2 linked regions of the Drosophila melanogaster genome follow. The protein of the gene in region 2 interacts with the protein of the main gene of each other region in a pairwise test. Each region holds a gene or a part of one and is shown on either strand. Other genes may lie near its edges. The genes, in order: ND-42 and sicily.

The links.
Region 1: the proteins of sicily (region 2) and ND-42 interact in a two-hybrid assay, tested with the Drosophila melanogaster proteins (one study listed by BioGRID).

The regions. Positions count from the first base shown.
Region 1 is NT_033777.3:22,025,804-22,029,972, reverse strand, and holds ND-42 (NADH dehydrogenase (ubiquinone) 42 kDa subunit), read right to left. Parts: upstream 2,265-4,169; 5' UTR 1,953-2,264; coding exon 825-1,952; intron 758-824; coding exon 662-757; 3' UTR 580-661; downstream 1-579. Other genes in the region: CG13409 (uncharacterized protein), read left to right, coding at 1-267; Cchl (cytochrome c heme lyase), read left to right, coding at 2,936-3,525, 3,583-3,838. UniProt on the Drosophila melanogaster protein: Accessory subunit of the mitochondrial membrane respiratory chain NADH dehydrogenase (Complex I), that is believed not to be involved in catalysis. Complex I functions in the transfer of electrons from NADH to the respiratory chain.
Region 2 is NC_004354.4:11,889,562-11,894,245, reverse strand, and holds sicily (severe impairment of CI with lengthened youth), read right to left. Parts: upstream 2,515-4,684; 5' UTR 2,209-2,514; coding exon 2,027-2,208; intron 1,958-2,026; coding exon 1,843-1,957; intron 1,517-1,842; coding exon 891-1,516; intron 657-890; coding exon 575-656; 3' UTR 501-574; downstream 1-500. UniProt on the Drosophila melanogaster protein: Involved in the assembly of mitochondrial NADH:ubiquinone oxidoreductase complex (Complex I) at early stages. Interacts with cytosolic Hsp90 to chaperone the Complex I subunit ND-42 in the cytoplasm.

The sequences.
Region 1 (4,169 bases), on a different chromosome or scaffold from region 2:
GCCTCACTTAACACCACCTATCGCAGTTCGGCGCAGTTTATGTGCTTCTACGGACTGCTTAACTTTTACCTGTACACCATGGCGTATGTGTACTCGCCAGATGGACGGTTCGCCCAGGCGGAGCTGGCTGTCACCAAGGATAATCCGGCTATTTCCATGATCGACGATTCCGACGAGGATGTTGTCTACGGTTCCGACGAGGAGTCACGGCGACCGCTCACCTCTGTGGGCGGCGGTGCTGGAAAGAACGATTACGACAGCGATTGATCGGCGATTAAGAAGTATCCGCGGCAGAACGAATACCCAAATGTTCCATAGCGCAATTGAAGTTTTAGTGCTAAATGTGTACAAAGTATTCCCTAATATAATGCATAAATTAACTTAAAATTTCAAAAAATTAATCTCTGGTTGATCAATGAAACTGGAGAGGATCGAAATATGTTTGGGTATTCATGATTAAGCTGAATTCGAAATTTATGTTAAAAAAAAAGTATAAATAAACCCAATAGTTCGAGTTTTGTTGTATGAAAAGTATTTACAATCGATATTTACCATATTCGCTTTTTAACTAATTGGGTTCTGATTATTTTACTAGACTGTTTATTAGATAATTAACACATTTCGCCAGGTGATTTCAACTCGAAAGCATAGCAAAAACCCTCTAGATGCCCTGGTTGATGCCTATTTTCGTCTTGGTGAGGAGACCCTCGTCGCCCATGTCTGCATTGTAGCCAGGACGGTACTTCATGCCGGGAGCCTGTGTGCAAAGGGGCAGAATTAATGTGAAAAGAAATCGAACAGGGAAATGGAAACACCGAACTTACATTGAACCAGACATCACGCCAGACTTTGCCGTCGTCAGCGCTGCGCACCAGCTCCGGGACATCGAAACGCGGCACATTGAAGTAATTCATCAGATCGGGCTTCTCATGGCAGTACTTGATACGGGCTTCGCACCACTCGGCCTCCAGCGGGAAACGCCAGTCGAGCATCTTCTTGTTGTGAATATCGGCCTCAAACTGGTTGAAGTCGATGCGTTCGATATCCTCCACCACAACCTCAGTCTCACCGCCGGCTGTCCAGTCGTAGATGAGCAGCTCGGCATGGGTGGAGATGTCCTTGAGGTACTGCTGCTTGTACAGCTGCTCCAAATCGCTCAAGTAGGCATCGCTGAACACCTTTGACTGCACCTCGTAGTCCACATTGCGTGCCTTGATCTGCTTCTTCACGGCATCGACCGGCAGATCCAAGTAGATAACCAAATGCGGCTTCAGCAGCTCCCCGATGGTGTTCTGTCGGAGCTCATTATACACGGAACGCGCACCGCGTGACAGATAACCCTGCCGAAACATGGCCTCCATGAAGACAAAGTCCGAGTAGGGGCTGCGCTCGAGGACAACACCCTGGCCGGTGCTAAGGACGTGCTGCAGGGCATCAATGTACTGCGAATAGCGCAGCATGTACATGCGAATCTGGAACTGGGCAGCCAGATCGTGGCTGGGATCCAGGCAGAAGTTGCGCACATCGTAGCTTCGGCAGCTGGGCGGCAACTGAGGATCCAACTTCCTCATGTCATAGCCGTACGAATTGATGTAGATTAGGTCCAGATCAACTGCCGGATAGTACTCCATGTCCAGCTCCTCAGCCAGTTCCTTGGCGAACTTTGACTTGCCGGCCGCGATGGGTCCCTCCACACAGATCACCTTGGAGTTCTCGTCAAAACGCTTGGAGGTCTTGTCGAAAATAGCATTGAACACGCTGTACTTCTTCGTCTTGTACGGATAGGGGGCGGCCTTGGGCACCCGTGGTCCACCTCGCATCGTCTTGCCGGAGATGCTGCATCGCTGCTGGAAGGCAGCAGGCAGGGCATTCGTCTGCGCCTGGAGTAGATTGGGCGACTGTGTGGCGCGGCTGACGAGCCGCACCAGTCCTACGCGGAACACGGCGGTCATTCTGAAGGGAAAACAAGGGTCAGTACAAAAACGAAACAAGATAATAACAATTATATCTCGTCCAGTGGCAATTTGTCGTGTGGTTACATCACAGGAGCTACGCAGGTAGTGCGGTAATCTCTGCCCTAGAACTGCAGATATGCGGATCTTTTCGTTGCATTCTGCTGGCCAGCATTGCGGCGCTCCATAGATTTACCCAAATTGTCGGTTTTAATGCTCTATCCGGTGGTATTTACTCACTTTTCAATCTAAATATCGGAAGTCTACCCAAAAACAAATTTCGGGCTATGGTTGGTGTTGGAAAACTCCCCGAATAGGGCTGTCAAGGTATCCGTTCAAATATCAAAAATGTAAAATCAAAATGTTTGTCTATGCTTTAACTGCGACTTTTCTCAGAATCAGAAAGAATTTCATATGAAATGAAATTTAACCCAGTATTTTAAAAACTTTATATAACACTTACAAAATAACATTTTAATGTATAAATGTATTTGTTTTACTTTTTAAAAATATCGCAAAGCGACTGCTCAACACTACACAGCACAGCTGGGGTGTTTAACTACAAGTTAATTTACTTGAAATAAATTCAACAATGCTTTTCATTTGTAGACAGACACACACCATAAACTCACATTGCCGTGCGGTGCGAGTTGATTTTTTAAATTTTTAACTTAACATATTGTCACGGTGCAGAAACAACTGGTCCACTTTCCGTTGGTCTGGCAGCCCTGACCACAACCTCGCTGCATTTTGGGCTCAAAAGTTCTAACGATGAACTAACGAAAATATAAATCAAAATTTAAGGCGAAAGGCTCCAGGAGAAGATCGACAAATATCGAGAGTTGTGACCATTAGGATCGAGTAAGTCCTGGCGTTGGGGCCCAGCACTGGGAGTGTAACCCACTCCTTACAGTTACGCAACTGAGAACTAATGCGATTTTCCTCGTGACACAGATTTTGTTATTAACCAATCCCCAGCAGAAATGGGCAATACAGCCATCACCCGAGTGCAAATGGAGGCCACGAAGAGTGTGCCGGTGGACCACGCCAAGTACATGAGCGGCAGTGGTGCCCCGCCACCAGAATGCCCCATGCATCAGAAGCATGGAGATGCAAAATCGGCCTCCGCCGTACCCCCACATCCCAAGATGCAGGCCGCTTCCGAATGTCCGGTGCAGCACGACAACAGCGACGTTAATCCGCTGAATATGATGCCACCGGCAAACCAACAGCCGGCGGCAGATCAGCCCTTTCCACTGCCCACCGACCGCCAGACGTCGACCATTCCCAAAGTCACCGAGGATGGCAGCGTTCAATTCTGGCAGTATCCCAGCCAACAGATGTTCTGGAACGCCATGCTACGCAAGGGCTGGCGCTGGAAGACCGAGGACGTATCGCAAAAGGACATGGGCGACATCATACGCATCCACAATGCCAACAACGAGCAGGCCTGGCAGGAGGTACTTAAGTGGGAGGCGCTTCACGCCAAGGAATGCGGCAATCCGCGCCTCAAGAGTTTCGGTGGCAAGGCCAAGGACTTCAGTCCGCGCGCTCGATTCCGCAGCTGGCTGGGGTGAGTATACTCCAGACGGAAGATCTCACCTGAATTAATGTTCGAATTGTCTTACAGATACGAGCTGCCATTCGATAGGCATGACTGGATAGTCGATCGCTGCGGCAAGGATGTGCGCTACGTCATCGACTACTACGACGGTGGACTGGTGGACAAAGACTACCGCTTTGCCCTGCTGGATGTGCGCCCAGCCATGGACTCCGTGGACAACGTTTGGGACAGAATGCGCGTAGCTTACATGCGCTGGAAGTACGAGCTGTTTGAGAAGTTTGGCAGCGCGGATGGCGGCAAAGTGACCGCTGGTAGCGACTAGATGGAATGCATATTTAGATGATCGCTATAGGTACAAAATCGGCTTAAGTTATCGAATGGATGGAAGAGGGAGTTTGGTTAAATGCGTTTAAGACGCTGCGAAGCGAAACGATGTTGAGCCCTCTCTTTAAATAAATGTTGAATCTTGACTTCTGAACACCAAAATTCGAATGTGGTTTTGCTTTTTATTTTATTCTTTACTTAAATCCTTTTAAGGATTTCGAATTATCCAGTAACGAGTTGATAGCATTGTGGAGGAATATATTAATTAAAGTTTTTTTTTATTGATATACTTATGTATATGCAGAATTCTCATCTGTTCAAAATGCCTG
Region 2 (4,684 bases):
TCTGGGTTTACAAAGTTCAATCCAGGAGTGCGAAGAAAGCGCGCCAAAAACTCACCATGCCAAAAGTACGCGTAAAGTAGGCGTTGCAATTTTTCCGGAACTAGCAACCGGAAGCCGGAAACGGGCCCAAAAACAAACGGTGCTTATCTTGTTGAGCGATCGTCGCACTGCTCCGTTCTCATTAATATCCAACACACACTTTCCACATCAATTCTAACATTCATAAAAAACTAAAACTGCGCCTGAAACGCTCTGAAATCAGCTAGCAACTACTGTACCAATCGGGTCTTGCATCGTATCCACCGATACCTTCGTCGGGACGAACCTTTGGTGCACCTGTCATCGATAGTAATTACGTCCCGATTCGAAGCGAGATAGCGATATTCCTGCAACCGTTCTTAACCCATTTCATCCAAAAGATCCCCGATCCGATTCATATTCGTATTCTTATAAACATTGGAAATCCTCTTCTATTGATTCGAGAAAAAGTAAGAGCTCTTATTTTAAAGTGATTTTTATTAAAGAAGTCAACAATGAAGAATTTATTTCGTACTACATACTAACATAATCGCTATCAGAACCGATTAAGCAGCGACTTCCAGAATAAACGTGCTGGCAGTAAGGTGTCGCGGCCTACGCAGCTCTTGTGGGTTAGCCTATAAGATGGGAAAATTATTATATTATTATGGGGATTGATAAAAAGAAGGGTCCGCTCCATGAATACTGAACAACCAACAAACTATAGCTAGGTTTTGAAATAAAGAAGTCTCAATAAAGGCAAATCGTACTTATAACTGGATAAAAATAACATCTTAACTACAAAAAGAAGCTGGTTCTCTCCTGTGTTTGTCGTAATATAAAACAAAGCAATATAAAACAAAGGAACTCACAGGAAGTTGGCACGGCGGAGGCGCTCCAAATATGCATCCGTGGCCACGGCGGAGAGGAAGATCTTGCGCACCTGCGGCGGCACCTTATCGTGCAGCTGCCTGGCGAGCTTTAGGTGCGTATTGGCGGCACTGGCCACATCGAATATACAGTCCTCGACACCCTTGTCGTCGCTCTTAGAGCGAATGATGCGCTCCTGGCTGACGCCATGCAGCACCAGCACCTCGAGCGGAATGCAGGGCGCCTGCTGACGTCCTGCCAGCGGTATCGATCGCAGCAGGGTGGCGATGCCTTGGGCCTTGCCCAAGTGGGAGGCGGCATGATCAGCATTTAGGTCACGCACTCCGCCCACCTCCAACAGCAGGAGCAATAGCGAAGAGAAGGTCTGTTCCGTGTACTCCTCCAGCTCGCGTATCGACTCAAATGCATGCGTGGGCGGACGTTCCCGTGCTGTGACCAGACGGCGCAAATATACCTTATTTAGCTTGCGACTGCCCACCGTGTGCTTCAGTTCGCGCAGGACAGGCTGGTCCTCCACGTACGATCTTTGGGAATCCGGCTCAAAGCACTTGTCTATGGAGTCGTGCCAGAACTTAAGGCGCATTTTGGCTATTTGCGGCTCAATTTGCTGCAAGGATATTTGTCATTATATAAACGATTTTACTGGACAGAAATAAGAAGTTTAAAAACTACGAAGTGTTGCTTATTCTACGAATTTCTCTATCCGTTTTAAAGGAAGGAGAGAAATTATACTCTTGCAGTGTACATAAGAAATTAAGAGATTTGTGAAACCGTTCGAAATGGTAATAATATTCATGAGATGCGGACATAAGCCACTTATGCTTACAATAATATTGATGCGGAGTAACAGAGTCTGAACGGAGTCTGAATTTAAGGCGCCACGTTATTCTAACTTAAAAAATAAGCCCCAAGGAATTTCGATGCTCCACTCACATGGCCGCTAACCGATCTGGAGACCTCCACATTGAATGCCCGTAGGGCGAAGGCAGCACGTCGCAGTTCCCGTGGTAGGAGCAAGGTGCACAGGTAGTTCTCGTAGTCGTATTTCCTGGTTATCCGGAATAGATCCATGTTCAATTATACGGATAACTTCAATCGACAAGTTTGCGCTACTTACTCCACTAGACTCATGCAATGTTTGGCCCCGTATCCATTCTTGTCCGCCTCAATCACTTTCTTTTCCCTGGGAATCGCATTGGTCTTGGCCTCCTGGTGAATTCCGGCATGGCTGACAATTTCTTGGCCGGATTTGGCGTTAAATAACAATCGGCAATTCCAATTTCGCACCAGGCGCCGCATCTGTGCTTCTTCTTTCCACCAGACAACTGAACATATGTTCTGAGCGGTGCTGCCAGATCGCACTCGGTCTGTCAGAAAGTTACTACATATGGGGTATTCGCGATTACGCGGAAATTTCATTTGGCGGAAGATTCAAAATGCTGTATGTGACTTGTTGGTAAATTTATAATGCATTATTATAGCTTAGCTTAGGTAGTTTACCATATAAAGCTTAGCTTAGGTATATAAATACATTATCTTCCGTAAATATTGCTTTTTTGCCATGCGTAATCTTCTTGACTTCTTTTCTTTTTGCTGTGAGGCCATTTTTAGACAAGTTATAGCCAAAAAAGCCAACTTGAAAATTGAGTTTTTTGCCAAAAGTAGTTTCCAGATTTTTTGTGAAAAAAATATTCGGTATTTTGATCAAAACATTGAAAATAATGACTCAAATATGGAATGTCATACCTCGTTGAGTTTGTTTTTTAAATCCCAATCGATTTGCATTCAAGTTTGGGAATTCTAGAATTTTTCATTTTTTTGCAAATTTTGATGATGGTACGTACCCCTTACAAAAAATGCGAAAATTTGTCCAAAAATTAATTTTACAAAATCAATTAAAAAGTTAAAGGGATGGTTAGTGTTGATCATAAGGAGTATAAAATGGTAATTCTTTTTGCTGTGAGTCCATTTTTAGTCAAGTTATAGCCACAAAAGCGAACTTAAACATTGAGTTTTTTGCCAAAAATAGTTTCCCAGTTTTCTGTGAAGAAAATAATCGGTATTTTGATCAAAACATTAAAAATAATGACTCAAATATGGAATGTCATACCTCGTTGAGTTTGTTTTTTAAATCCCAATCGATTTGCATTCAAGTTTGGGAATTCTAGGATTTTTCATTTTTTTGCAAATTTTGATGATGGTACCCCTTACAAAAAATGTGAAAATTTGGCCAAAAATTAATTTTACAAAATCCGTTTTAAAGTGATAGGGGTTGTTAGTATTGGTCATAAGGAGTATAAAATGGTAATTCTTTTTGCTCTGTGACCATTTTTAGACAAGTTATAGCCAAAAAAGCCAACTTGAAAATTGAGTTTTTTGCCAAAAGTAGTTTCCAGATTTTTTGTGAAAAAAATATTCGGTATTTTGATCAAAACATTGAAAATAATGACTCAAATATGGAATGTCATACCTCGTTGAGTTTGTTTTTTAAATCCCAATCGATTTGCATTCAAGTTTGGGAATTCTAGAATTTTTCATTTTTTTGCAAATTTTGATGATGGTACCCCTTACAAAAAATGCGAAAATTTGTCCAAAAATTAATTTTACAAAATCCGTTTTAAAGTGATAGGGGTTGTTAGTATTGGTCATAAGGAGTATAAAATGGTAATTATTTTTGCTCTGTGACCATTTTTAGACAAGTTATAGCCAAAAGAGCCAACTTGAAAATTGAGTTTTTTGCCAAAAGTAGTTCCCAGATTTTTTGTGAAAAAAATATTCGGTATTTTGATCAAAACATTGAAAATAATGACTCAAATATGGAATGTCATACCTCGTTGAGTTTGTTTTTTAAATCCCAATCGATTTGCATTCAAGTTTGGGAATTCTAGGATTTTTCATTTTTTTGCAAATTTTGATGATGTTACCCCTTACAAAAAATGTGAAAATTTGGCCAAAAATTAATTTTACAAAATCCGTTTTAAAGTGATAGGGGTTGTTAGTATTGGTCATAAGGAGTATAAAATGGTAATTCTTTTTGCTCTGTGACCATTTTTAGACAAGTTATAGCCAAAAAAGCCAACTTGAAAATTGAGTTTTTTGCCAAAAGTAGTTTCCAGATTTTTTGTGAAAAAAATATTCGGTATTTTGATCAAAACATTGAAAATAATGACTCAAATATGGAAAGTCATACCTCGTTGAGTTTGTTTTTTAAATCCCAATCGATTTGCATTCAAGTTTGGGAATTCTAGAATTTTTCATTTTTTTGCAAATTTTGATGATGGTACCCCTTACAAAAAATGCGAAAATTTGTCCAAAAATTAATTTTACAAAATCCGTTTTAAAGTGATAGGGGTTGTTAGTATTGGTCATAAGGAGTATAAAATGGTAATTATTTTTGCTCTGTGACCATTTTTAGACAAGTTATAGCCAAAAGAGCCAACTTGAAAATTGAGTTTTTTGCCAAAAGTAGTTCCCAGATTTTTTGTGAAAAAAATATTCGGTATTTTGATCAAAACATTGAAAATAATGACTCAAATATGGAATGTCATACCTCGTTGAGTTTGTTTTTTAAATCCCAATCGATTTGCATTCAAGTTTGGGAATTCTAGGATTTTTCATTTTTTTGCAAATTTTGATGATGTTACCCCTTACAAAAAATGTGAAAATTTGGCCAAAAATTAATTTTACAAAATCCGTTTTAAAGTGATAGGGGTTGTTAGTATTGGTCATAAGGAGTATAAAATGGTAATTCTTTTTGCTCTGTGACCATTTTTAG